4 linked regions of the Rhinolophus ferrumequinum genome follow. The protein of the gene in region 3 binds, or shares a complex with, the protein of the main gene of each other region. Links are inferred from orthologs where the notes say so. Each region holds a gene or a part of one and is shown on either strand. Other genes may lie near its edges. The genes, in order: STK25, STK26, STRN4 and STK24.

Evidence for each region.
Region 1: STRN4 (region 3) and STK25 share a complex: the UniProt entries of both Homo sapiens proteins name them as parts of the core of STRIPAK complex. The link is inferred for Rhinolophus ferrumequinum from reciprocal best matches to the Homo sapiens genes STRN4 and STK25.
Region 2: STRN4 (region 3) and STK26 share a complex: the UniProt entries of both Homo sapiens proteins name them as parts of the core of STRIPAK complex. The link is inferred for Rhinolophus ferrumequinum from reciprocal best matches to the Homo sapiens genes STRN4 and STK26.
Region 4: STRN4 (region 3) and STK24 share a complex: the UniProt entries of both Homo sapiens proteins name them as parts of the core of STRIPAK complex. The link is inferred for Rhinolophus ferrumequinum from reciprocal best matches to the Homo sapiens genes STRN4 and STK24.

What each region holds. Positions count from the first base shown.
Region 1 is NC_046291.1:253,072-260,266, forward strand, and holds the start of STK25 (serine/threonine-protein kinase 25), read left to right. Parts: upstream 1-4,177; 5' UTR 4,178-4,341; exon of another isoform or gene 4,342-4,403; intron 4,404-4,820; 5' UTR 4,821-4,912; coding exon 4,913-4,942; intron 4,943-7,195. UniProt on the Homo sapiens protein: Oxidant stress-activated serine/threonine kinase that may play a role in the response to environmental stress.
Region 2 is NC_046284.1:23,859,655-23,866,623, reverse strand, and holds the start of STK26 (serine/threonine-protein kinase 26), read left to right. Parts: upstream 1-3,951; 5' UTR 3,952-4,106; intron 4,107-4,206; 5' UTR 4,207-4,315; coding exon 4,316-4,357; intron 4,358-6,969. UniProt on the Homo sapiens protein: Serine/threonine-protein kinase that acts as a mediator of cell growth. Modulates apoptosis. In association with STK24 negatively regulates Golgi reorientation in polarized cell migration upon RHO activation.
Region 3 is NC_046298.1:42,863,723-42,870,985, reverse strand, and holds the start of STRN4 (striatin-4), read left to right. Parts: upstream 1-4,250; 5' UTR 4,251-4,268; coding exon 4,269-4,550; intron 4,551-4,602; exon of another isoform or gene 4,603-4,675; intron 4,676-5,312; exon of another isoform or gene 5,313-5,331; intron 5,332-7,263. UniProt on the Homo sapiens protein: Calmodulin-binding scaffolding protein which is the center of the striatin-interacting phosphatase and kinase (STRIPAK) complexes.
Region 4 is NC_046287.1:44,276,772-44,283,904, reverse strand, and holds the start of STK24 (serine/threonine-protein kinase 24), read left to right. Parts: upstream 1-4,130; 5' UTR 4,131-4,446; coding exon 4,447-4,488; intron 4,489-7,133. UniProt on the Homo sapiens protein: Serine/threonine-protein kinase that acts on both serine and threonine residues and promotes apoptosis in response to stress stimuli and caspase activation.

The sequences.
Region 1 (7,195 bases), on a different chromosome or scaffold from region 3:
AAGGCTGCCGGTTCGATTCCCACATGGGCCAGTGGGCTCTCAACCACAAGGTTGCCGGTTCAACTCCCGCAAGGGATGGTGGGCTGCGCCCCCTGCAACTAGAAAACGGCAACTGGACCTGGAGCTGAGCTGCGCCCTCCACAACTAAGACTGAAAGGACAACAACTTGACTTGGAAAAATGGCCTGGAAGTACACACTGTTCCCCAATAAAGTCCTGTTCCCCTTCCCCAATAAAATCTTTAGGAAAAAAAAAAGTTTTCGGGTGGACAGGTGGCTCAGTTGGTCAGAGCGCGACCTCTGGGCAACAGGGCTGCTGGTTCGATTCCCACACGGGCCAGTGAGCTGCGCCCTCAGCAACTAGAATGAAGTCAATGAGCTGCCGCTGAGCTCCCGGATGGCTCAGTTGGTTGGAGCGCGGGCTCTCAACCACAAGGTTGCCGGTTCGATTCCCATCCAATGAATGGTGGGCTGTGCCCCCTGCAACTAACAATGGCGACTAGACCTAGAGCTGAGCTGCACCCTCCACAACTAAGATTGAAAGGACAACAACTTGACTTGGATGGAGCTGATGAGTCCTGGGAAAAACACACTACTGTTCCCCAATGAACAGTCCTGGAAATACACACTCTTCCCCAATAAAGTCCTGTTCGCCTTACCAAAAAAATCTTTGAAAACAATTTTTTTTTCTTTTAGAAAACCATACAGTGAAATTGTCTTTTTTAGTGTACAGTTCTCTGAGTTTTAATGCAGGTATAGATTTGTGTCATCCCTTCCACAGTCAGGGTACAGAGCAGTTCCCTCACCCCCAGAAACCCCCTACTGCTCTCCTCTGTGGGAGCAGGCTGCTCCCCCCACCCCTGGGAACTACTGGCAACTTCTCCCTTGTGGCTGTTGTTTCTTCCACAATGCCTCCTATACGGAATCACATGCTATGTGATCCTTTGAGACTGGCTCCTTCTGTCACACGTCTCTCAGTAGTCGATTCCATGTCTGGATGGATCGCGGCTCATCCACTCACTGCGGAAGGTACCTCTGGGCTGTTTCTAGCTTGGGGTCCGGCTGACTAGACATGCTGTAGACATTTATGCATAGGCTTTTGTACGAAGATATGTTTTCTTTACTTGGTGTAAATACCCAGGAGTGGGCATGCTGGCTCACGTGTTAGGTATATAGTTGACTTTTTAAGTAATCGCCAAGCTGTTGTTTAGAACGGCTGCACAGTTACACCGTATGAAAGTTCTGGGCTCTGCCTCCTCACCCTGAGTGACCAACCATCTGCTTTGCCCAGGATGGGAAGAGGGGCTTCCTGGGACATGGGACTTTTGGTGTTCAAAGTGGGAAACTCCTGGACAAACTAGGATGGTTGGTCACCCTAACCTCGCCAACACTTGCTAGTGTCAGTATTTTTAGTTTAGCCACTCTAATATGTGTGCAGTTAGAGTCTCGTCATGGTTCGATTTGCATTTCCCGGATAGTTAACGACATTGAGCATCTGTTCATTGCTGACGGCCACCCATCTATCCTCTTTGGTGTGCCAAGTCTATTCTCAAGTTTTCTTATTGGGTTCTTTTTAAACAAATGTTTTTATTAAAATATAACTGACATACAATATTGTTTTAGTTTCAGGTGTACATCATAGTTATTCAACAGTACCCACCTGGCACATACATAGTGATTACCATATTATTGATTATATGCTAAATAAGTGATCACCATCAGTCCAGCAACCATCTGACACTGTACCACGCAATTTTACTGTACTATACTATGTATATACTGTAATATACTGTACAATATTACTGACTATATTTCCTATGCTGTATATTATATCCCCATGACTTATTTGTTTTATATCTGGAAATTTGAACATCTTACTCTTCTTTATGTTTCCCCCCTTTTTAAATTTTTCGGAGTTGACATTCAGTATTATTTTATATTAGTTTCAGGTGTACAGCATAGTGGTTAGACATTTATATAATTTACGACGTGATCCCCCTGACTAGTCTAGTACCCACCTGGCACTATACATAGTTATTACCATATGATTCACTATATTCCCTATGCTGTACTTTACATCCCCAGGACTATTTTGTAACTACCAATTTGTACTTCTTAATCCCTTCCTCTTTTTCACCCACCCCCATTGGGTTCTTTTCTAACTGATGAGTTTTGAGAGCTCTTTATATATTCTCTTTCTCTCTCTCAATATATATATTATGTGATATATATATATAATACATATATATATAATACATATATAAATATATATATATTTTTCCTCTCTCCCTGTCTGTAGCATCTTTTCTTTTTTTTTTTTTTTTTTAAGGAGGGCGCAGCTCACAGTGGCCCAGCAGGGACCAAACCCGCAACCTTGGTGTGATTAGCACCGCGCTCTAATCAACTGAACTAACCAGCCACCCCTATCATTTTCTTAATAGTGTCTTTCTGGAAGCAAAATGTAAAAATTTTGATGAAGCTCAATTTATCTTTGCTTTTATTTGTGGTAAAATACACACAATATAAAATTTACCATTTTTAAGTGTACAATTCAGTGGCATTAAGAAAATTCACAAGTGGTGTAAACGTCACCACTATTTATTTCCAGGACTTTTTTTTTTTAATCACCCCAAACAAATTCTGTACCCACTAAGTAATATATCCCCATTCCCCTCTCTCCCAGCCCCTGGAAATCTCTGTTCTACTTTGTCTCTTGAATTGGCCTATTCTTGATACCTCATATAAATAGAATCATACAACATTTGTCTCGTGACAGGAGAAACTCAGCTACAGGAGAGTTCTTATGCTTATTTCCCTTAGCTGTTTTCTAGGTTCTTCTGTTTTAGCATGTGTCAGAACTTAATTCCTTTTTTATTTCATTTTATTTATAATTGTGGGAAAACACACATCATATAAAAGTGAGTGTGTGAAGCATGCTTAAGTGCACAGTTCCGTTGTTAAGCTCAGTTTACATTGTTCTGCAACCATTACCTCTGTCTCCAGAACTCTTTGTCTTCCCAAACTGACACTGCGTCCCTACTAAACACTCACTCCCCTCCGCTCCCCAGCCTTGGCACCACCATCGACTTCCGTCTCTGAATCTGACTCCTCTAGGGACTTGTGGGGACAGAGCCCCAGAAAGCAGTTTCCAGGCTCTCGGCCTCACATGGAAAGGTGCTGGCTCAGGTAGTAAATGGCCATCAACTGTGATTGGCTGGCCATCAGCTGTGGCTAGTTGGCCGCCAGCTGTAACCAGTGACCCATTGGCCACTAATATAACCGCCGTGGCTACGCTAGCAGAAAATGGGGGCTAGCAAGAAGATGGTGGCTGGCAAGCGCGGACTGCAGTTAGCACGGCAGAGTGCGGGTTGCAGATTGCAGAGAAGTGGACGGCAGGTTGTAGATAGTGTGGCTCCTGCTTCCTGTCTCCAACCCAGCCGCCAGCGAGAATATAGTGGTATGACTCCCCTCTCTATGGCTCCGTGGGTGTTCCTTTTTGGCCTCACCATGTCCTGCGTTCTTATGTGGGGAGCGGGAGCTGAGACCCCGCAGGCCGCCCCGCATGACAGGACTTCACACAAGGGGGATCACACAGTGTTTGTACTTCTGTGTCTGGCTTATTTCACTGCTCACATGCCCTCAGGCCTATGCATGTGGCATCAGGTGTCAGAAAGTCCTTTTTCAGTCTGAATAATATTGCACTGTGTGTATGCACCACATGTGTTGGTCCTTTCCTCCCCTCAGGACCCTGTGGGTGCTGCCAGATAAGCAGCAGCAGAAGGGCGGACGCCCTCCAAGGTGGAGGGGAGAGTTTTCTAGGGGAGGGGGGGGGCGGAGGGAGACGAATAGGAGGAAGCGGAGTGGATAGCGCACTGGGAGGGCGGGGAGGATGGAGAGTGGAGCCGGGGAAGATGGGGCGGAGGAAGAGGAAGGCAAAAAGGAGACAAGATAGAGCCCAGCGGGCCCCAACCCCAAAGCGGGGCGCCGGCGTGGCCCCGCCTCCCGGACCCGGTCCCGCCCCGCGGCCTGCCGGGAGACGTAGTCCAGAGCCTCTCAGGAAGCGGGACTCGGAGTCCCAGCGAGCCCCGCGGCGCGCCTGCGGGCCGCGACTCCGCCCCGCCCCTGGCCTGCCGGGACTTGTAGTCCAACGCGGGCGGACGCCCAGGCACTGGACGAGCGGCCGGACTCGGTGTCCCTGAGAGCCCTGCGCTGGGCCACGACGCCGCGCACCGCCCTCTCCGTCGCCGCCGCCGGCCTTTCTCCGGCCGTCGCCGCCGCCGCCGCTGCTGCTGCTTCGCGGGCTGGAGGGTCCGGGTGTCCCCCCGGGCGAGCGGAGGCTGCGGGTGGGAGCCTGCGCGGGCACTGCGGAGCGGGCCGGGGGAGGCCGGGATGGAGTACCCCGGAGGTGGGCGCGCTGCTGGGCGAGCCCGCGCCTGGGGCGGTTGGGGAGGGGGCCGAGCGGTGGGGGTGCCGAGAGGTGGCGAGCGGGGTGAGGGGAAGGTGCGGGGCTGAGGGCAGAGAGGGCCCCGGCGCGGGGTGGGCACCGGGAGCGTTGGCTGGCGCGGGGCAGCGGGTCTGAGCGCCGGTGCCGGGCGGGGGCCAGGTGGGCGGGGCTTCGGGGGGCGCTCAGGGCGGCGGTCCCTTCGGGGGTCGCGGGCCCCGGGCGGGCGGGCGGGCGGGCGGGGAAGGGCTGCCGTGGGGGTTTCCGGGGCCTTCCTGACGCCAGCCCGCCGCCCCCTTCGGAGCCTGTTCCCGATGGTCGGACGAGGGGCCGCCTCGCGCCCCCTGAACCGGCTGAGCGAGCGGCCTGCTGTCCCTCCAGTTGGCTGAAGCGAGCGAGCCGGGTGCCAGGGCCTCGAGGCGGAATCCAGGGGCCTCCGCGGTGGCGGCGGATGTTCTGAGCGCGGCGCGGACATGGCTCACCTCAGGGGGTTCGCCAGCCAGGTGAGGGTTGTTTCGGGGTGACAGCGGGCAGTGTGTCCGCTCGCCGGGCCGCCGGGAGCAGAGCGGTGCCTGCAGGCGCGGGAGGGGTGTGGGTGGGAACCCGTGCCGCACACCTGTGGGCAAGAGGGGGCGCGGTCCCGAGGCGCCCGGCGTGCTGGGGCTCAGGGCCGACGGGGGGGCTGCTGCAGCGTTGTGGGGTGCAGAAGCGCGCAGGCATGTCAGAGCAGCGCAGTGGGAGGCCGTGGAGGCTGTGCAGAGGCCCGGTCGGGACGGCGGCGTGGCTGGGGCGGGACCCCGGGTCTGTCCGCACGTCCGTCTGCTGGGATCGCGCAGGTCGGGCGCACGCGGGCCGGGGCGGGGCCTCCGGGGGACCCCTCGCTGGTGGGCGGTTAGGGGGGCTGGGAGGGTGAGCGGGCCGCTCTCCTGTAGGAGTGGGGGACGCGCGTGAGTGTGTCCATGGAGGGAGGTGCAGTACTTACCTGGTGGTACCGCCCTCCTTCGGTCGGTTGCTCCCTAGAATCCCCGGTATTCAGACACCTTGAGGTGTCTGACTCCACTGGCTGACTCTGGGGGACCCTCTGCAGTGTGCCCCGAGTTTGCTGGCACCTGGAAAGGAGGGTGTGTGTAGGGGGCAGTTGGGAGGCTTGTGGTCTGGACCTCCCCTCTTTTTTGTTAAAGGAAGTGTGATTGGAGCTGATGTGGCTGCCTGGTGGCCAGGTTTTCCTGTGTCCTCGTTGTTAGTTGTTCCCTTGACGCGATTTAGGCCAACTGCTGTAAGGCGAGGGGTGGCCTCTTACAGAGAGGAGTCCCACCGCTGGCTCCCGTGCACACAGTCGGGAGCTCAGCCCGCAGGAGGAGCAGGAAGCTGGGTCGTATGGTGCGCAGGGAGGAGGCGCCCGGAAGCCACACGCAGCTGTTGGGCAGGGCTGTTGGGCAGGGCGTCCTGGACCAGCAGTGGCCACAGATGGGACCGGGGTTTGCTGACGGACACTGAATGATGCTAACAGACTTTGCGTGTATGCTTGACATTTTGTGTCTGGTACACGCCAAGGTGCTGGGAGAAAAGTCCGCCTGGAGCTTGTTTTCTAAGAGCTGTAGGAGTGGCCTCCATGGGTCCCAGAGAGGAATTGGAGCAGGGAGCCGCCTGTACCGCTGTGCTGATGGTGCTTGATGCTTGGCCTGGGTGCCCACTCAGACCCGGGGAGGGGGCGTGGGTGCTGAGGAGCTGGGAAAGGGACCCCAAAGGAAGGACGCTCCCTTGTCCTTTCAGGGGCGGACAGACTCAGCCTTTGTCGCAGCAGGAGGCCTGATAGGACTGCATTTTCTCTCCAGACGGCTGTCACTGTGGCCTCGTGGGTGGTCCCTGTGTGGAGCAGCGGGCGAGCTCCCCCACAGCCTGTGCTCCTGCTCTGATGTCACCCCCGCCTACGGGCCGAATGGCTGGGGGTGTGAAAGCACCATGTGCTTACCAGCTGTCACCTGTCGTGTGCTGGTTGGGGACAGCTTGGCTCTTGTTTTGTGGGGTGAAACTAATGGCAGACATTCTGCCAGGTGGTAGCCCCAAATCTGGCAGTGCCAGGGCTGACTTGAGAACAAGGGCCTTGACCACCAGAGCCAGTTGAGCCACTTGAGTGTTGTCCAGACCACGTGCCTGGTCTAGAAGGGCTCCCGGGCCCCCAGACCTGAGAGCTGCGTGTCGTTCCTTCAGCCGGTGATACGCCTGTAGGGTCAGTGTTAGCCAGAAGTGTTCCTGTCACACCCTGTCTACTCACTTGACTGATCCGCAGCGGTGCTGAGACCTGAGGCTCGGGGCCCTGTCTTCTGTGGAGCCTGGACTCTGGCTTAGGGGGTGCACTGTGTTCTGCTCAAGGCAGTGGAGGTCTGAGCGGGCCGGCTGGGGTTCCTTTGGCGGCTGTGGGGGGCCAGATCGGCTCTGGCCAAGGCCGGGCGGGGCCGGCGAGGTCCCCACGTGGAAGCCAGTGGAGCAGGTTTTCTCTCTGGCAGGAAAGCCTTTTTGTGCTGCTCGCTCAGTGGTCAGCGGTATGGTAGGTCACACCTGAAGACCTGAGCAGCTGTGATTTGAAGCCTGCTTTCCCTTGACCTTGGTTTTGGGGTCTTCCTGGCAGTAGGCTGGCTGCAAGCTTCGCGGTTGTTTCTCTTCCACGTGTACTGGGCTGCCGGTTCCAGTGGGGCTGGCCACATCCCTTAACAGGCTGAGCCGCGGTGCAAGGGGACACCTCACCACCGGCTTGG
Region 2 (6,969 bases), on a different chromosome or scaffold from region 3:
TGCCTGGTACATTAGAACATGCTCCATGATTAAACTTTTTTTTGTAAACAAACCATTAAATTTTCTTAAACTTATTTTCTCTTCAATATTATTTTTCATTAAGTAGTATTCACTCTTTGGGGCAGATGATCTATGACTTAGTACAAAAGCAATATAAAAATACTCTTTCATTTCCAGTAACCCTTCGATGTGGCCCAATATCTTGTGGGGATTTTTGGGGGGAGGTGGGGAAGCCACTACATTGAACTGAAATCTTCAGGGAACAGTGATTCCCAAGTCGGTTTCTTGGTTAGTAATCCCTAATGCAAAGAGTGTAGAGCATGGTTTTTCAAACCTTGGCACCATTGACAATTTGGGCTGGGTAATCCTTTGTTGTGACAGCTGTCCTGTGCATGGGAGGATGCTTAGCACCCGTGGCCTCTACCCACTACCAGTAACGCCCTTTCCTCCCCATTTGTGACAACCAATAATGTCTCCAGAAGGCAAAATTACCCCTGGTTGAGAACCACGGCCCTAATGCATTACTGTCTACATTGAGGTTTGTCTGGCCATTTCTGTCTACCTACATTTTAGCTGTGAATCAGTCCATTCAATAAATATTTACAAACATGGGTAAAATTAAATGTTTAATATTGACGGTATGACAAATGTTGGAAATTGAAATCACAGATTATAAATTTAAATTAAGTTTTGTTGGGTTCAAGGACACTGTCTAATTTGGAGTTCACTGACTTCAATTAATCTGTATACAATCTTATTTTATTTATATGGTTATTAAGTGTTCATAGCACTCAGGTCACACCAATTAAGCAGGTACAAAATCTGATTTGAGGCACTATGTTACATTCCATGGGGTTACCAAAGAGCATAATATGTGGTGTCTCTCCTCATGGAACTTTTTCCATCAAGCTATGGGAATACATTGTAATATAGTATTAGACTCTGGGATGATATTTTGAAGTAAAATATTCAAGTGTCCTTTTCTGGGGAGAGTGAAAAAAGCACACTTGAATTTCTTATTTTATTTATATTAAGATATATATATATATATATGCATATATATATATATATATATATATATGAAAAAGCATAAGCAAACCACAAGGAACTCCACGTAAAAACTCAAGTGATCTCTATAAATAATAATAACAGATAGTTTATTTAATAGAAGTAGTCCTAAATAAAGGTCAAAAAGTTTACTAAGATCTCAATAGCAGTGTTTCTAAGGAAACGTCTCAATTGTTCAGGTCTCAAAAGTTAGCATTTAGACTACTACATTCTTACATAACTCTGGCCCAGAATGATGTCAGGGAAAGTCACTTCTCAGATATGCTTAATTTACTTATCTATTAAAATTACACAACTTGCTCTTATGTAGTTGTGAAATTAAAGTAACTGGAAAGAATTTTGGAGACCAAAAAAAAAAAAAAAAAGAATGGTGTCACATATACTAAAGTGAATGATTTAAAGGTTCAGCAAGAGCAGTACGTAGGAGTTTAACCAGGCATCAATAAAACACACAGTATACCAATAATGCACCCACCTATCACTATACTAATCTCAGTGAAGAATTCAAAGGAAATACATCTATTCATTTATTCATTTAACAAATCTCTATTGAGGGCTTACTATGTGCCACACACTCTCCTAGCCTCTGAGGATACAGCAATGAACAAAACAGACAAGAATTTTGCCCACTGACAGTTGCCATCCTACCTGAATAATTCTTATGTAAGAGAAGGTGGATCTCTGGCCTCTAGGACCTAACAATCTTGTTGGGCAGACTAAACAAATGAAATAAGAACAAAACCACAATGTGACTGTGGCTTCCATCGACATGCAAAAGAAGTTTGAAAGGGGGATTAGAGCAAGGAGGATGGCTCAATGGGGGTGAGATTTGAGATGAGCCTCTGAAAGGGGGATTAGAGCAAGGAGGATGGCTCAATGGGGGTGAGATTTGAGATGAGCCTCAAATGATGGAGCTTGATTCAAACCCTTGGTATTCAAAGTGTGTTCTAAGAATCAGCAGTAGTGCCATCACCTGTGAAATTGTTCGCAATGCAGAATCTTGTGCTCACTCTAGAGTTGCTAAATCAAAATTGGCACTTTCAAAAGAATCCCAGGGAATTTCTATGGACATTAAAGTTTAGGTGGCTCTGCAGGTTTTTGGTCAGGCTGGCATTGTTGAGTGTGAGCTGGGTGAGTGGGAGCTAGAGATTGGATTGGGGCCTCTCATCATGTTAGAAGTAATAAGGGCCTGGAATTGGGAAACCAGGAGTAAGGGAAATGCAATTATATCCTCCATCATCTGAATAGATAAGAAAATGTGGTGTAGATACATGATCTGGAATATTATTCAGCCATAAAAACGATGGGAATCCTGCCATTTGCAACAACATGGATGGACCTTGAGGGCATTATACTAAGTGAGATAAGTCAGATTGAGAAAGACAAATACTGTATGATCTCACTTATATGTGGAATCTAAAAAATACCAAACTTATGGAAACAGAGAGTAGATTGGTAGTTGCAAGGGGCAGGGGATGGGGGAAATTGGTGAAGGTGATCAAAGGGCACAAACTTCCAGTTATAAATGAATATGTTCTGGGGACCTAATGTACAACATGGTAACTATAGATAACAATGTTGTTTTGTGTACTTGAAAGTTGCTAACAGAGTAGATCTTAAAAGTTAGAGATACTTGGGTTTGAATTTCCAGCTCTACTTCTTAATTGTGCGATATTTTGTGTCAAATTATTTAAGCTCAACTTTTTCTTCATCTGTAAAATGGGGAGAAAGCAATATGACCTCCCTTGTAAAGATTCAATTAGGTAACACATTGTCCCTGGCACAAAGAAAATGGCATCCATGAATAATAATGATATTGACAATAGTATGCTATCTTTAAAAGGTTCAAAAGGAACAACAACAAAAATATATTAATTGAGTGTCTATTGAGTGGCCCCAATACTGTGTTGTGTACAGACCTATAACAACCTGCAAGGTAGGGAACTTCATCCTCATTTTGAATTGGCACTCAGATATTACATTTTTAAAATGTAATTGACCCCTTGTGGGTTCCCAGAGGTCCCTTCATAATGAGATTCTTGAAATTGCTATTACCATTGTTAATGTTATTAGGGTACTCTCAAAAGACCTTGTCTCCCTCCTGGAGTGGAACATGAAATGGGGTGGAGGCAAGGATTTGCTGGAACCACTGCTGTGTATGCTGAGTTCAATAATATGCACTGCTACCGTACTGATGTTCATCCTCATTAATTTTTCTGCGGACGTACCATCTGTTCTCCAACTTCCCTCTCTATTAAACGTGCAGAACTTGTGATAAACAGAAGCCCCAGTCTGGCCACCCCCCACCAAAGGATAGCCCAAGAGGTAGGTGTAGCCTCAGATTCAGGTCACCTGAAGCATGTCTGGGGGCGAGAGATCCCGAAAGCATCAGAGTGGCTACGGATCTGCCCGGTGGCACGGCCTCAGGCTGGGGAGACCCCCACCGCAGTAATGGGCAGGAGTCCACCGACTCGGTGGCTCTCTGTGCCCCTCTGTGCCCCACCCTCGATCAGATTGGGAAGCCAAGAAGGACTTCCAACACTCTCCAAGTTTTAACTCAAGAAGTCTACGAGGCTGCGTGTGCCCCAGCCTCGTACGCCTGCCTGCAACGTGGCCGCGTCTAGGACGCCCTCATAACCCCAGGTCACCCAAACTTTTCCATTATCTCTCCAGGCCGAGCCGTGTTCCAGGTCCCCCAGGCCCCGGGTTCTCCTCTCCGCGTGCGGGGAGAGTCTTCCCTTCTCAGGCTCCAGCAACCCCAGGCAAACCTCTTCACTCGGAACCTTAGCTCTCCTGACACCGCCCGACTGTGGGGCGGGGGCAGGGCCAACGGAGGAACCGCCCCCAACCGCCTCCCCCGCCAGGCGAGCGGGCGGGTTGCTGAGGCGCCTCCACCTCCTCTTCCTAAAGCGGCTAGGCGCAGACGAGCGGCATCACTCGAGCCCAGGTCTCAGCCACCGCCACATACAGCGCCCCGCATTCAGGAGGAGGAGCAGCAGAGGAGGTGGCGGCAACAGCGGCCGACGGGCGCCAGAAAGGTAGACTGAGTCCCAGGGAGTAGCCCCGCGAACTGCCGACTTCGCAGTCCCGGGCTACGCGCCACTAGCCCAGTAACCCCACTTCTGTGTGTCCTTCCAGGCCCGGGTCGAAAAGCCTGGGAGGGCCGCCGAAATACCCCCGGAGAAGGAGCCAGTCCCAGCCCAAGGCGCCACCGCCGCAGAAGCAGTGCGGAGCAGCCGTCGCCTTCATGGCCCACTCACCGGTGGCGGTCCAAGTGCCCGGGATGCAGGTGAGGAAGCCCAGGCCTGCCCCGCCGCCCATGTGACTACCCCAGAGCCCCGTACGCACTCCTCACTGGGCACCGAGAGGCGGCCTCAGGGCTCCCCCGAAGGCAGGGCCGGGCGCTCTGGCCAGGTGACCTGGGAATTGGGCTCTAAGTGTTTCCTGGCGTTGAGGCTATGCACTACGTTGGGAAGGAGGGGAGGGATTGGGGCGCGCAACGAGGTGAGGATGGGGTGGGGGCGTTATAAAAATAGGCCAGAGCGAGACACCTGCGCCTGCTGAGCGTGGTACCCTTGAGGATTGGAGGCGGGAAGACTTGGGAGAGATGGAGGTGTCTCGGAATTTATCGGGTAAAATGCAATTTGTGCCCCCTGCCAAACACAAGTTGGAGCGGAGCAAGACAAGGGGATGTCGGTGGCGGCGGCATTAAATCGGTCTCTTCCTGTGTGCATAGAGCGAAGTGACTTCTTTTCCCCTTTTGGTGCTGCTTCTTAAGGGCGAAGTTATATCTCCCTACCCCACCTGGCCCAACCCATAGGGCAGCATGAGAAATGTTGGGTCCCATATCAGAATCGCCTAGGAGATGACTCTCCAGCCCCTTCCCCAGCCTTTCCCACAAAATGACTGTTGCATGTTGTTAAGGGAAGCTTTTTGTCCTGGACTGGGGACTGCTGCATGGGACCCAACTTCTTGCTGAAGATCTACCCAGTCCCCCTCCCCGTTATATTTTCATTTTATTAAAGAAGAAATAAGCTATTTTCATACTTTATATGCTGTTATGGTTTTAAATTGGTGCATTTAAAGCTATCTACTAAATGTTACCCAAGTCTACTAACTTTTAAGCATTCACATTTTTTTTTCCTTTGCAAGATAGCCTAAGCAACCCATTTATGAATAACTCAGAGACTAGACACACTAAAGCCTCACTTCCTTATTATGTTCTAAAAATGTGAAAGCAAACTTTTCTCAAGTTCAGACAAAAATGTTTAGTAAATAGCTTATGTTTTAGTATCAATCAAAGAGCTGTGGATGGGGGCCTCAATTTCCTAATTGATGCATGGAATTCATTTTTTTTAAAAAGCAATTGGTCACATTTTATGCATGATCACAAAAGAGTGATTTTTAAGATACTTCCCCCAAAAAGGACCATCTGTGTCTGACACATACCTAACCAAAGACTCTTGTGTATCCTAAGCACCAGGCCTTTTAACTGAATATCGTCTGTGTCGAGTCCCAGGAAGTTGGTGTGTATTTAATAAAAATAAATAAATAAATAAATAAATAAATAAATAAATAAATAAACAAACAAACAAACAGGGAGAAAAAGGGTAATGAGAAATATTAAGGCTTTTAAAAAGGTTAATCCACTCAAGCTTTACAAAATGCCTCAAACTTTCTTCTCAGGCCACCCCCTTCCCTCCCTCTTTCCCCCATCCAGCCTGGCCCACACCCCATTCATTTGGTTCTGTCTTTGATTGTATCATGGGAATTAGAAGCTTGCAATACTAACTATGGTTTTGCTCTGTCTGATGTGGAGGAAAGTGCGAAAAATTTCCCACTGAACCCTCCTTCCCATTATGTGGAGATGTACAGATGTAACATTTGTCTTTGAGGGTTTCCAGGCTTTTCTCTCCATTGTGTACGTTAGCAGAGTGAGTGCCTGCCCTTCAAGTTTGTGATTCTGAAAAACTGTGAGCTAAAGAGAAAATAGTTTCTGGTCTTTATTTCATTTGTCTTGACTTTATTTGATTTATATAGTTTCTAGTCCTTATTTGATTTATATGGTTTAGGAAATGCTTGCTGTTAAGTGTTTCTTATTGCTCCCAGCTTTGTTGAATTATCTGAGTTCCTATCTCTTGAATTTTTAAATGTTAATTAAGGTGGTTTAGAATGTGAATCACGTATTTTAAATGACAAACTCTGCCTTTCACTTTATGCCTACCCAAAGTTGTGATTATTTTGTCCAACCTTAATTTGGAAGAGGCAGTCATCTCAATATTAGCGAAGAGACTTTTTTCATCTTAATGAAAATGGTAAATTCTTAACTTCTCATTTCCATTTTCTTTATAGATGTGGTTCTTAAGCATTTGGTGCAACACAAAACGTTTTCCACAGTTAAAATTGTACAGTACCCTAAAAATAAATTTGATGGCATACAGTGTGACTCTTGAGCCTAGATTTCTTTTACTATTTTGTTCAAAAATATTGCATTTGAGATGCAGAAATACATCATGACCTTGTGAAATTTTCCTAAAATTTTGTTAAAGAGTTAAGAGCACCTTTTTTTAGACCTTTAGAGTAGTAAGAAAACTTGAGTTAGCCATGTGTTCTTGAAATTAATGTATAGTATTTCTACAAATCATGGTGAAGTGATTGACTGGCCTGTAACTTTTTAACAGTTTATTTTAGAGAATTATCAAGATTGATGGAAAAATGATTTTTCCAGAAATAAAAACAAAATTATCCACAGTGTTTTCCTCCCTTCCCCTCCCCCCCAGGAAAGACATGAAGTAAAAGCTGAGCTACCTGTTCTATCACTTAAGACTTCCAGCATTCCTGACTTTCAAACAAAGAAATTTCTGTTGCCACTAGTTTAAAATAGAAAAGAAACTTGGAGTG
Region 3 (7,263 bases):
AAAATGCATTTGGCAAAAACAAAAAATGATGGCCAAGGTCAGGGTTTTTATGTCTATAAAGCTCACTCAGGTCCCTGGAGTCAAACTCTACACTGTGGCCAAGTGCCTGGGGCCCTGTGCTGGTCGTCCTGTCTCCTCCACTCTCCTGCCAGGAATGTACTCCCACCTCCCCGTCACCTGTCCCAGTTCTGCTGGCCCTTCTCTGACCCAAGTTGGATGTCACTTAAGAATCTGAGTTGCACTTTTAAGAGTGACTTCTTACTCTTTAGAACCTTGGAATTGCCTTCTGGACCTTAGATGGATCCCTCCTTCCTTCAGTCCTTCAGTAGCTACTTGAACTACAACACGCCAGGCTCTGTTTTAGGCACTGGGGACAGAGCGGTGGACACACAATAGAAGGACAAGCAACACCCCGAACCTCATGGAACTCACATTATTGTGGGCAGAAGGAACTTCTGAATCCACTGAGTCTTTGGAGTATTAAAAATCTTAGAATCTTAGAGCTTAGATACACAGAAGCACAGGAGAGACCCTTAGATGGTTTTAGAATCTTCGAAAGATTCTAAAGAGACCATTCTCCTGCTCCACCCTTGTCCCCTACAGTTTTGTTTCCCATTTAGCACCCAGAACTCAAATTAGCTCCTGTCCTGTGTCTGCTCAAACGCTCCATGACTCAAAAGTCACTCAAAGGGAAAGCCAAAGTCTTCACTATAACCCATAAGGGCCCCAATGGTCTCCCACCCTCTCCCACTCTCACTCAGCTCTGGCCACACCGGCCACCAAACACTATTCTTCAAGTACACCTGACACACTCTAACCACTACACTGGCTACTCCCTCTGCCTGGATGCTCTCTCCAGAAGGTATCTGCATGACTCCTGTCCCACGGCCTTCAGGTCTTTGTTCAAATGTCACCTGTCCAGTGAGCCCTTCCTTTGGCCACACTATTTAAAAATACATCTCCCTATCACCCACATACTTCCTCTGCCCCATCCCTGGTTATTTATCTCTCCTAGTAGTTATCATGTAGATTTTTTTTTTTTAAAGATTTTATTGGGGGAGGGGAACAGGACTTTTATTGGGGAACAGCGTGTACTTCTAGGGCTTTTTTCCAAGTCAAGTTGTTGTCCTTTCAATCTTAGTTGTGGAGGGTGCCATTCAGCTTCAAGTTGTTGTCGTTTCAGTCTTAGTTGTGGAGGGCACAGCTCAGCTCCAGGTCCAGTTGCCGTTGCTAGTTGCAGGGGGCACAGCCCACCATCCCTTGCAGGAGTCGAACCGGCAACCTGATGGTTGAGAGGATGCGCTCCAACTAACCGAGCCATCCGGGAGGCAGCTCGGCTCAAGGTGCCGAGTTTAATCTTAGTTGCAGGGGGTGCTGCCTACCATCCCTTGAGGGAGCAGAGGAGTTGAACCGGCAACCTTGTGGTTGAGAGCCCACTGGCCCATGTGGGAATTGAATAGGCAGCCTTCGGAGTTAAGAGCACGGAGCTCCAACTGCCTGAGCCACTGGGCCGGCCCTATCATGTAGATGTTTATTTATCTTGTTTATTGTTTTGTTCCCTGCTGTATGCCCAGAGCACAGCTCAATGCCCGGCACATAGCAGGTGCTCAATAAATGAGTGACTCCAATTATTCAGATGGGGAACCTGTGGCTTAGAGACAGAAAGGATGCAGGGAGCAGAACCCAGGTCTCCACTGTCCAGGCTCCGGTTCTTGTCATGCTGTCTGGGTGACTCTGGGCTGGGAGGTACCCAGAAGGACAGAGGACAGAAAGGGGGGTCCTCAGAGACCAGAGGGTATTTATCATGGCTTCATGGGGAAGCGCCACCTACTGGGTGAGGGGACCAAAGAGGAAGGAGAAAGGAATCATCTAGTACCCTCACAAGGTTAGTCTTGACTTTTCTGACTATAAGGGCTCAAAACCCCTTCATTGAGGTAAGGTAGAGGAAATGATTTTGAAGGTCCAAATAATCTATATGCTTTTATGAATATTTTTCATAATAGAATACTATTAACAAATCTAGCTGCTCACGATGTGCCAGACCTGTTCTGAGTACTTTACACACGTTAACTTGTTTAATCTTCAAGTTATGATCACATTTAAAGATGAAGAAATTGAGGCACAGAAAGGTGAAGTCACTTGCTTAATTAAGGTCACACAGCTGGAAAGTGGTGGACTCAGGATTTGACCCAAGAAGTTGGACCCAGAGTTGTGCTTTAATCCAATCAACTCCGCTGTCTTTCTTGGGTCTACTCAGCCCACTCTGTCAACCTTCTGAGACTTCTCCAGCCTTAACCTGACAAGTACTTTCAAAGCTGAATATGACACATTAATTAATTCAATTCACTAACTCAACAAAGCTATTCATTGAGTGCTCTCTGTGCCATACCCTGTGTTCCGGGGATGAATTAGGCAGTCACTGAGTAGGACCTCCAGAGGTGGGAAGACAAGTAAAAACTACACAAACAACTTATAGATGGGGCAAGAAACCAGCTTGGGGGGAGGGGTGGCAGAAAAAAAACAGTACTTCCTTTAGAAAAGGTAGTCAGGAGGGGCAGCCGGTTAGCTCAGTTGGTTAGAGCGTGATGCTCGTAACACCAGGGTTGCCGGTTCGATCCCCACATGGGCCAGTGTGAGCTGTGCCCTCCACAACTAGATTGAAACAATTACTTGACTTGGAGCTGATGGGTCCTGGAAAAACACACTCAAAATAAATTAAAGAAAAGAAAAGGTAGTCAGGGAAGGAGAAGACAATTAAGCCAAGACTTTGTCTCTCTATCCCTGACAAAACAATGTAAGTGGATCCAGACTCACTTCAGGCCTGGGTTCACCTGGCCTGAGCTCTGATCTAGCCTGAGTCTCAACTGTTGCACGGGAATGTGATGGGTAGATATGTGGAAAGACTTTGGGGATGAAGGAAGGGCAGTGTCCACATGAGTGCTGGTGACACTGAAGGACTTCTTACCTCCTACGTTGCAGGCTGGGGGAGTTCCAGGGAGGCGGTTCCAGCCCAGCTCAGCTGCACTGCTGAGGGAAGGAGAAACAGAAAACCCCAAATCAACCAATTTTGCACAATAGAGTACAATTTCATCTTACCTACAAAAGTGGCAGTGAGAAGGTCAAGGAATCATTTCTCTTGAAGTCCCTTAAGCTCAGACACGAGCATTTTAGGAATGGGTGGAAAGGATGTCAGTTATCATAGCAACCTATAACCATCCCTCTCTGATGAATGTGTCCAGAAACATAGGGCTAAAAGTGACAAGCTGTTACCATGACAACCCTTTCCCTTTACACACTCCATCCTGAGAGAAAATCCTAAAACCATTCCCTACCTTGGTGGGTCTGGTTACTAGGGTCACTGGAGGGGTGGGGGGACTGCCCCTGTTACCACAGTAACCGGGACTTGGCCTTGCTGGTTTCTCACATCCCTGGGGATGGTCAGGCCTTGTAACCATAGCAACTACTCCTCAGCAGAGCATCTCCTTTTCTAAATACCTGGTTGGTTTGGTCCAGGGACTTCCCACCATAAGAAAGGAGGGGAGATGGTTACCACGGTAATGCCAACTGGGTGGCTGGGAGAAGGGGTTGGGAAAGAGGTATTTCCCTTAATAATCAGTGTCCCTGGGGCTAGTATCCTTTCTACCTGAGTGTTAGGTGAGGTTGCCATAGTAAGCAATGAGGGTAGGGGCAGAAGGATCACCAGGGACTTAGGTTACCTTAGCAACCTCCTCCTGTTGCAAGGACAGGAGAGGTTTGAGGCTCCATAACCACAAAGGTGGAGGGGAGGGAAGGCTGGGGGTGTTCCAGGCTAGGGAAGGGTTACCATGACAACCGACCATGGCCAGGAATCAGGATTGAGCCATGGCTGAAACCACCCCTGGTGGTCGTCCTTTCTCTCAAAGAGTTACAGTGATGCTCGAGGAGAGTGGTATTTGGGTCTGGAGAGGGTTAGAATCTTTCTTTGGAGCGAAGCGGGAGGAGGGGGGCAGAAAGCAGCGCCCTCTCAAAGTCCCGCTCTCCCCAAGGACAACCCTCGCGCAGGACCGGGGTCCAGTTTGCCGGTTCTCGGGGAGCGCGCCCCCGCCCCGCCCCTTCCAGCCACCCCCCCGCGCGCGCCTTCGGGGTCGACCCGGGTGGGCGAGGCGCGCGCCCGGCCTCGCTCCCGTCCCCGCCCCCCCACTCAGCCCCTGCCGAGCGCGCGCGCGGGGATTGGGCGGCCGCGCAGGCGCGCGAGGCACAGCGGGCGCGCGGGCCGGCCCGGGGCCTCCATGATGGAGGAGCGAGCGGCCGCAGCCGTCGCCGCCGCCGCCTCCTCCTGCCGCCCCCTCGGCTCGGGCGCGGGCCCCGGTCCGACGGGGGCGGCCCCGGTCTCTGCCCCCGTCCCCGGGCCCGGCCCGGCTGCTAAGGGAGGCGGCGGCGGGAGCAGTCCCGGGCCCACGGCGGGGCCGGAGCCCCTGAGCCTGCCCGGGATCCTGCACTTTATCCAGCACGAGTGGGCGCGCTTCGAAGCGGAGAAGGCCCGCTGGGAGGCGGAGCGCGCCGAGTTGCAGGTGAGCGCCGCCCGGGACCCCCGACCCCCCGCCCGGCCCGGCCCGGCCTCACCCGCCGCCGCCGCCGCCGCCATCTTGGAGCAATGGCCGCCGGGACGGCCGGGGGGGCAGGAGGGGACCGCGAGTGGCTCAGAGCGGGAGTGAGGGGTAGTCCGTGGAGGGTCCTGGGGGCACCGGGGCGCCTCGAGGCGGGAGTGGGGCCCGGGGGCGGGAATGCCCGAGCGCGGCCGGTCGAGAGAAGGGGCGGAAGGGCCCCGAACCAGCTGGAAGTGGGAGTGGGAGTGAGCGGACCGGCTGGCGGGTTCCTGAGAGTAGCCTCGGGGCCTGGCGGGGACCCAGGAGAACTCAGCCAAGGGTGCTGAGAGGATTTGTTGGAGGGGCTTGTGTGGGGGTGAGCAAACGCTCTCGGGTGCCGAGGGATGCCCACCACAGTCCCGACCAGGAGCGGTTGGAGGGGGAGTCCAGTGGGCTCAGTGTGGAAGACGGGGCGTCGGGAGGATTTGGGACCCGTCAAGGGCGAGAGCAGTTCGGCCGGAATCAGGCCTGAGTACGGAGAGGAAGTCACGGATCCTGGGACACAGGGTATTTCGGAGCATTTGGATAGAGGGAACTGAAAGATGGTTTCGTGAGGACTGAAGGGGTAACAGGAGGGTCTCGAGGGGTCCCAGGATGATGGTGTGTGCCCTCCCTGCTGAGGAGGAAACTGGAGGAGCCCTGGCTTGTGTGGCTACCGAGTGCAGGGAAGGGGTCCCAAGGACGTACCTTAGGAATCTGTGTGGAAGAGCTTCAGAGTGGAAACTCCAGTTTGGGGGTGTGGAGGAGTGGGGGATGGTCCTGAGATGGGCGGTGTGTGTAGGATGGCAGGTGGAAAACCCTGAACTGGAATGTGGGTGCGGGAGTCACGCATGTCCAACGTGGAGAGTAGGGGACCTGGGATGGGGACTGTAAGGAGGAATCCCAGGGGACCTGGGATGTGGCAGGGAGTGGATTTTGTAGAGCAGGAAGAAAGCGTCTCAGAAGGACCCTGAGCGGCGACGCGTTTGTGGAAGTTTCTGGGAAAGGACCCCATGGTTTGTGGGGTAGCTTGGGAGAGGGGTGCACCCTGGGATGATGTTTAGAAGAGTCTGAGGAGCTGAGCTGGGTTTGGTGACCTTGAGAAGTCTGGGTCCATTTGCAAAGTGTCCCAAGTAGCCTGGGCATCAGTTGTGAAGATTGGGAGTCCAGCCATGGGCGGAGAGGTGTCTGAAAGTGCCTAGACTCTGCATATTATTAGCAGAAGTCAGTATCTGCTTCTAGCAGCCCATCTTTCCCCTTCTGACTTGTTTACTATCTAGTTGAGGTCTGGACCCAAGTAAATAACTTATTAGAATTTTGTCCATAGGATGAATAAAGAGAGCATCCCACAATTCTCCCACTTCACTAGAGATCTTAGCTGTGTGGCGTTGGGATGGGAGAGGAATCCTTATGTAAGTGCCCCTTGCGGGGCTGTGTCCAGGCAGCATACATCTCGTTAGATCTTCTCAATACCCCTATTATGTAGGCAGGCCAGTGTCATTGCCTTCACTCAGCAGTAATTGTAGCAGCTGCTGTTATTGATCCCATGTTATGTGTCAGGCACTGTGTTAAGCACTTTACATACATGGTATCGTTTAATCCTTGCAATATTCTGGGAGGGTAAGTGATATAATTCATCACCACTCTTTTAATTTTAATAAGAAGAGGAAATGGGGGCCGGCCCGGTGGCTCAGGTGGTTAGAGATCCATGCTCCTAATTCCGAAGGCTGCCGGTTCGACTCCCGCAAGGGATGGTGGGCTGCGCCCCCTGCAACTAGCAACAGCAACTGGACCTGGAGCTGAGCTGCGCCCTCCACAACTAAGACTGAAAGGACAACAACTTGACTTGGAAAAAAGACCTGGAAGTACACACTGTTCCCCAGTAAAGTCCTGTTCCCCTAAAAAAGAAAAAAGAAGAGGAAATGGAGGCCCTGAGAGGGTCAGTGATTTATCTAGGATCACAGCTCATGGGTGGCAGGGCTGGTCTGTGGGCTTTCAAGCCCATGCTCAATTCCTCTCTGCCGCCCTGTACAGATGAGAAAACTGTTCTGTAGAAACTGTTTGGCCTCCCCGGAGTCATCCAAGCAGTCATAGTAGAGCTGGGATTGAATCTTGGTCTCTGGGACGTCACGCCAATGCGCCCTACAGCACCCAGCACACCACCTTCTCATCTTTAAGGCTAATGAGAGGGAAGGTGTGTGTTCCCTCACTCAGTGGCCCTTCTTGGAGTGTGAGAGGAGCTTGTGGGTAGCACCCATTAGGCTGTCCTCGTCTTGGCTCCAGCATCACTCACTTTGTACTTTTGTTTTCTTTTGTTCTGTTGCAGGAGTAAAAATTCAAAGATCTTAGAAGTGTGTGTGTGTGTGTGTATACGTAGATGTATAAGTGAAAAGTGAAAGTCACCCCTTTGTCGCTCTCTCACTCTCCTTCCCAACTATTTATTGCTGTGAAAGTAATTCAGCTCTATGTGTACAAAACACGGATCATATTATACGTATTATTTTATGACTTTTTTCACATACTTCTGTGCATTGGTGTTCCTTTCATATCAGCACAGAGCTTTCTCATTATTTTTGATAACTACGTTCCACTGGATGTTTGTATTGTAATTTGACCCCTGTTGATGGACTTTTAGCTTGTTTCTAATTTTTCTCCATCA
Region 4 (7,133 bases), on a different chromosome or scaffold from region 3:
TGTTGAAGTCTTAACCCCCAGTATCTGAGAATGTGACTGTATTTGGAGATAGGGTCTTTAAAGAGGTCATTAAGTTAAAATGAAGTCACTTGGGTGTACCCTAGCCAAATGCGATGAGTGTCCTTATAAGACAAGATCAGGATACACACACACAGGGAAGATTGTGGGAGGACACAGGAAGAAAATGGTCACCTCCAAGCCAAGGAAAGAGGCTTCAGAAGAAACTTACTCTACTGCCACCTTGATCTTGGACTTCTAGCCTCCGGAACTATGAGGAAATACATTTCTGTTATTTAGGCCACCCCACCCATGGTACTTTGTAATGGCAGCCTGAGCAAACAAATGTAGGGTGCAACCAAAAACTGACTTAGAATGATGGTGCTGTGAGCTTGCCCTCTGAGCCTCAGTCACAGAATGCAACTACCTTTCACTGTTCCCCAATGTAGCTGGATCTTTTCCTAGGGCTTTAGCATACATTTTCTTGATATCATGTCATCCAACTATGTCTAGTCATGCTGCTTTATACGGATCTTAATAAATCTGTCTTCCTCTTTTGTGTCTTCACCTGCTAAACATGTGTAGAAATTTGTCAAGCCTTCTGTTAGTTACTTATCCAAGCTACTCATATTTCTCTCTTTAAAGTTCACCATGTAAGTCCCTTTCTTTAATCTGTAAATTTAAATTGCTAATGTGCTACTTGTCTAGCTGTTCTTTATAAAGTGGCATTTGGGGGTGTTTATCTTTTCAACTCAGAAGAAGTGAAGGGACTGATTGTTGAATTCTTGTTTCTGGCTGCATTCTGAGCTCTGCTGAGGCTATGAGCTGGCTTAGGGGAAGTCAATACACAAGGGTTCTATATTTGGAGGGGCTTTATATAGGGGAATGGAAATGTCCTTTGTGGTCCCGAATATGTGTCAGAGCACAATTCACGCTCAATTCATGTCCTTAGGTCAACACAAAAGACAGAGAGGGCCAAGGGATGAAAATAATTCCTTGGGTTAGTAAGTATCTCCATGGAGACCAGAAAATGCATGATCTTTATAGAGACCCTCAAAATCTCTCCTGAAATTACAGTAGTATATGATCTGTTGGAATTATAAATTGAGGATGGAGGGAAGTGACAAAAGGGAGAGGATGAAAGGATAATCCTCTTCTTTCCTTAGTGGAACTATACACATTGTGACTCTAAATTTAATCAATTGTGGTACTGTAAAATTCTGAAGTTAAGATTCTGGGAGACCACGTCCCGAGGATAGGATGAGAGGCATCTGAGAACCTAGTATTTATACGCCCAGCACTGAACCAGATGCTGACATGTGTTTGGCATTCAAAAAATGTGCTAATGTATGAATGGATTCAATGAGCAATTGGGCAGGATCGCATCATGGGCTCAGGCCCTGTCCATCATCTGTGTTCTGTTAAAACAAAGGGAGAAGGCCACTGTCTGCGGAATACTGGGAAATATCTGCCTATGACTGTGCGGAACAGTAACTCCTATTTTGCTTCTCTTTCAAGGACAATGATGCTCAATTGTATAAATATGGTCAAAGGAGGAAATGAAGTTCACTTGTGGTGAGGAGATAAGCCGGGTACAGGGAAATAGACCAGTTAAAGAATGCAAGTAATTGTGTCCAGATGAATTATGTATCCTACTGTAACATACCTGTTCTTAGCCTTACTAGTCTCTGGAGGTGAAAAAGGATTTGGAATACTTTTGATACGCAGGGTATTGTGGTCCAATGCCCCACTATGGCTTATTTGTTGCAAACTGGCCCACTACAAAACAGGCCCCTGTGTTTTTTGTGTTTCCTACGGTAATGCCTCAGCTTAGTGCCCAAACATTTCTGTCCACTCGTCCTATTTCTTCCTTCTTATCTTGCTATCACGTTATTGCTCTGATTGCTGATCCTAAGGAGAGACCTCTTAGCATGATGGTCTCTAATGGTTGACCACTGACTGAAACAATCATCTTTAATTCCAGAAAAAGCTACTGCTAAATCTTGGTGTATATACTTTCAGGTTTTTCTGTTTACAAATATATACATAAAATTATACATACATGTAAATGATATATATGTTAAATATAACTTCATATACATGAAGTAGCTTGAGATCAGACTATAATAGTTTTGTACTCTGCATTTTGTTTCTAACAATACAAAATGAAAATATTTTCCATTTTACTAAATGTTGAAATACATCATTTTTTACTGACTACGTGGTACTCACTGTATGAATATACTATCATTTACTTAATATCTATTAGACTTTTAATGTGTTCCCAGTTTTCCCATGATTATAAATATCACTGAACTGCATCTTTTTATATCCATTCTTATGCATGTCTTGGTTGTTTCTAAATATTAATAGAATTCCTGGGTTGAAGATTATGAACATTTTTAAGATTTATGCTCTTGCTTGTTTTACTGTTCATCTCTTTATGTACCCATTTTTTTTAGGTACACAAAATTTACAAAAGATGGTGAATCCTAGGTATCAGGATTCATGCTTTTCCTTTTTTTTTTTTTAAGGAGGGCACAGCTCACAGTGGCCCATGTGGGGATAGAACTGGCAACCTTGGTGTTATTAGCACCAACCTCTAACCAACTGAGCTAACCGGCCACCCCCATGCTTTTTTTTCACTTTGCATTTGCCACCTTCTCTTCCCAATACTTGGGGGCGGTAGGGCTTTACAACTCAGTGCAGTTAGTGTACCAGTGACAACGGTAAAGCTATCTGAAGGTATCCTGGAGAATCCCAAGGAAAAACACGTGTATCGTGTATTCCCAAAGGGAAAGCAGGGAGTACATTTTAGCACCCCCCTCCTTGTCTAATCCAGAGCACAGAGAGAACTGAAAGTCTCTCAATACAATGACACCTCAGAGAATAAACACTCCTTACCTCGGTGGAGAACTTTTAGAATTTCCTCCAGTAGTGTGTGAACTCTTGGGGGCTCATTTTTGTATGTCCAACCTCACACAGTGATGGTGCAACATGGCTTTCATTCAGGGGCATGAATGAGGTGCCAGGATCCCAACAACCTGAGGTACAGCAGATCACTTCAGTGGCTACCACTGTCATTGTAAATAAAATACTTTCTGGAGGCAGCAGACTCGTTCCTTCTTTCTTTCCTCTGTAGTTGGAGACTAAAAGGTGGAGACAGAAGTGGTGCCCAGAGCGGACCTGGGGCTTTTGGAGGCAGCAGAGAGGGAGAGGGCTGGGGTAAGTCTAGACACGGTTTCCTTCTATTGTCTTCCCTTCCTCCTTGCCCCTCCCTCCCTCCCCTGCATTTCCCTTCTCATGGTGGACGCTGCAGCCTGGAACCTGAGCCCGGAGATGGTGGGATTGAGCCCCCTCGCTTCTTAGCTAAGTTTACAGCGCCTAGTATTGCAAGCGGGGCTGTTTTCAAGCAGCAAAAGCACTCAGAATGAACAGCTCTCGGCCTCTCCCCTCGGTTTCCTCCTCGGGTTGGCTGGAAACTTCACGGAGACACCGAAGAAACTCCGCCCTGGTAGTTCTGAGCTGACCACCGGCTGAGGCCCCGCTGGGCATTCTCCCTCCCGAAGTCTCCCAGCCCCAGACTATGCCCTCGGGGAGGTAGCCTGGAGCCCGTTTCCTGGGGGCAGAAGGAAAAGGGTGGGCTCGCTTGGAGGGCAGGAGGAAGATGGTAGAGTCAGAGCTGGTGCTCACCGCTCCCTCGCCGTCCAGACCCCCTTAGGACTCCCACCAGGCCCAGGCGTGGGGGTGGGGGTGGGCACACAGCCAATTCCTGGGTCCCACCCGGTTCCCTCTTTCCCACGCCGGGAGGCCGCTCAGGCTGAGGCCCCCTCCCCGCTCATAGCCGCCAACTGGGGGCAAAGGGCAGCGCGCAACAACACTCGGATCCCCGCCCGCCCCGGCAGGCGGCGGCTGCGGCCTAGGGCAGCTGGCGACCGCGAGCCTCCTCCCCCTCCCGGAAGCGCGGGGCGGGGTCCCCGGCCGGGCCGCGGGGGCGGGCGCGGGGGCCGGGCCGGGGCGGGGCGCGCTCGGCGCTCGCGGGCTGGGCTGGCTGTGCGCGCCCACTCCGACTCCAGGCCTCCGGCTCTAGCCTAGCGGCGGCGACGGCGGCGGCGGCATCGGCATCGGCAGCCTCAGCCTCAGCCTCAGCCTCAGCCTCAGCAGCAGCAGCAGCAGCAGCAGCAGCAGCAGCAGCAGCTATTCGCGGCGAGGCCCTGCGCCCCTCGCAGCCCCTTCCCGGCGCTGTGCATGGAGACGCCGCCCGCCGCCGGCTGCTGAGCCACCATCCGGCCCGGGACCTGCGGGGGCTGGGGTGGCCTCGGGCTCCGACTCGGGCTTGGCCGGCCGCCCTCGTCGCCCGAGGGCTGCGCTTGGCCCGCGGGCCTCGTCGCCCGCGCGAATCGCCGCGGCCCGGCCGTCCCGTCCCAGGAATTAGCCGTCCTGACCGCCATGGCTCACTCCCCGGTGCAGTCGGGCCTGCCCGGCATGCAGGTAAGCAGCAGCCGGGCCGCCGAGGGGCGGGAGGGATGCGCGGGCCGGGGCGGAAGCAGAGAACTTGGCGGTGTAAACATGGCCCCCCCCACGCTGCCCCTTCCGGGGTCGCGCCGGCCTCCCGCGTCCGGCTCTCAGTGCCCGGGGCGCCCCTGCCCGGCTCGGCGGTCAGCGTTTCGGGGACGGGGGGCGGCGCGGGGACCTGGGGGCCGCGGCCTGGAGGCGGCCCTCTCCGTCTGGGAGTCGCGGTGGTCAGGGAGGGATGTGGGGGTGCCGGCCGTCTTCTTCCCCGCTCCCCTGTCTCCCCAGCGCCTCCGGAGCTGCAGGCCCAGCGCCGGCCCCAGCCCCGGGGGAGAAGTGATGTGGGGAAATGCCCTTGGAGGCCCCGGCGCGGTCTCTGGGCCCTGCCTGCGCGCGGCGGGTGCTGGAGGCCCCTGTCCCCTCCCTGCGAGCGGGCGGTAAAGTTGAGAGGCGGGAGGGGAGCCCCGGGCGCGTCAGGACTAGTCCTGGGCCCTGCCCGGGTGGAGGAGCCGGGATAGGGTGGAGGGAGGTGCAATTGCCAGCTCCACTTCCAGCGCGCGTTTCCTTCTGGTGCAGACACAGGGGAAAGTGCGAGCCTGTAAACCGTGCAGAAGGACTCCCTGGGACAGCGTGCACTCGAGTGTCCCGAGCCGAGGCTGACCCGCCCGGTCCTGGGACACTAGGCTTTTACTTTGAGAATTGATTGAATCCAGATGAGTTCTTCCCAGTAAACCTTTCCGTTGATACTTTGTGGCATGTTGGCCTACCATTGACTTTTTTGGGGTGGGGAGAAGTTGAATTTCAAATTACATGAAGGCGTTCAAGTTTTTCTGTATCGGGCACCGTTTTTAGCCCTTTGAAAAATAAAACCACCCTGCTTGGCTAATTTGTAATGCGTGTAAGCGCATAAGAGGTGTCAAAATCATTAGGATTAAAAACCTCACGATGCAGTTAGGGTATGTCATTAACGTTCTGCTCTCCCAACTTAGCTAAACGAGTGATCATGAAAACACAACCCCAGTATCTAAGTGGATTAGTTATCCTACAGACAGCCACGGGCTTGTTTTCTCTTCTTGCCTCGCTCTTGAGGGCTGAGAGGAACGGGGCTGGAGGACCTGGCCTTTTAGAAGCCGGGAATCTGTTCCTCTCTTTCGACGCACATCGTTTTCTCTCATTAAAACCATAAAAAGAAAACGATTTCATTGTTTAGGTTTGCAGTACTGAAATATAGGAACATAAAGTTACCAGAATTCTAGCCTCAGTTTTTTTTTTTTTTAAGGAGTAGCAGTTAAAGTTAATACCGAGAGAGCTTGAAGAAAACTGTCCTTGAATCTCATCCAAAGAGTTTTTAAACTCAACGTGCATTTAAAAGCTAAGCTTTTGCTGACCACTAGGTAAAAATCAGATGTGGTTTCTTGGTATTTCCTAAAGTTCCTGCTTTGGTTTGGTTTGAACTGAGATGCAGGAAGGCAGGGTGAACTGGCTGAAAAATGATTTCTGACCAGTAGAGCAAGAAGGCCTTCTTGTAGTGACCAAAAAAATAAAAAAAAATAAAAAAAAAATACGTCTGCTCAATCTTTCCTTTAGACGGACTTTTATGCTGTTTTAATCAGGTTGCAGTCTAGCACAAATGCCTCCCTGAGAGTTTACCACGGAGGTATTCCGCCTTTGTGGAGAGAGCATCAGTTTAAAAAGGTACTTAAAAGCCTCACTAGCTGGTGCCCTGAAGTCAGTATCAGATGGTTACCAGGTACCTTTTTTTGTCCTCACTTTTTTCTTTCTTCAAGAGTGTGGGCCAAAATTCTTAAATCTTGGGAAAAGAAGGTGAATTTCATTTAATAACTTTGCCGCCCAAATACAGTGCATTTACTAGGTAGTGTTACAAAGGAACTGTTTTTATTTTGCTTTCTCAGTATGAAAGCTGATAAATTTTTATTTAGTTGAAAAAACCAAATTTTCATCTTGTTAGAGTTGTAGAGGAGTTGAAGGTGGCTTTTGACAGTCATCCCTATATTTAAGTACATGTATAAACTGTATGATAATTGTTTTTAGTTTGCTATTTGGGAATGAACACCCCCCCCCCCCCCCCCGCACCCCCCAAGAAAAACAACAAGCACGTTTATTTCCTACTTTGAATTAGCAGCTGCTACTGCCCAGGGAGGCTTTTCCTCAGTGTTGTTGGGGATTAAATTAAAGGCACACCCGCCTTGGCCTGTTCTCTAGGATAAAACAGGAGAACTACTAACCCTTCTGTGCTCTGTCCTGATACATCTCACATCCCTCTCTTTTTTCTCTCTTATCTCCTGACCAGGGCTTATAAGGAGCTGGGTTAAAAGTTTTAGGAAGACAGTACAGTGAATTCAGGCAGCCTAGGCAAAGATGCCTACAAAATAAGCCTGAATGAGAGAACATTTTAGTGTAAACATAAGTTTTCAGTGTCTTGCAAATCATTTCTATGCCTCTTGTTTCTTACTTGTTACCATTTGAGGCATAGTTATTATATGCGATTTTCTAGATTTGGGAATCAACTAAAGACTAATTGAACTGACCAAGGTGAGATGGGGCAAATTTGTGACTTGAAACCAGGTCTTTCTTGCCTTCAAGACCATACTCACCATGCTGTA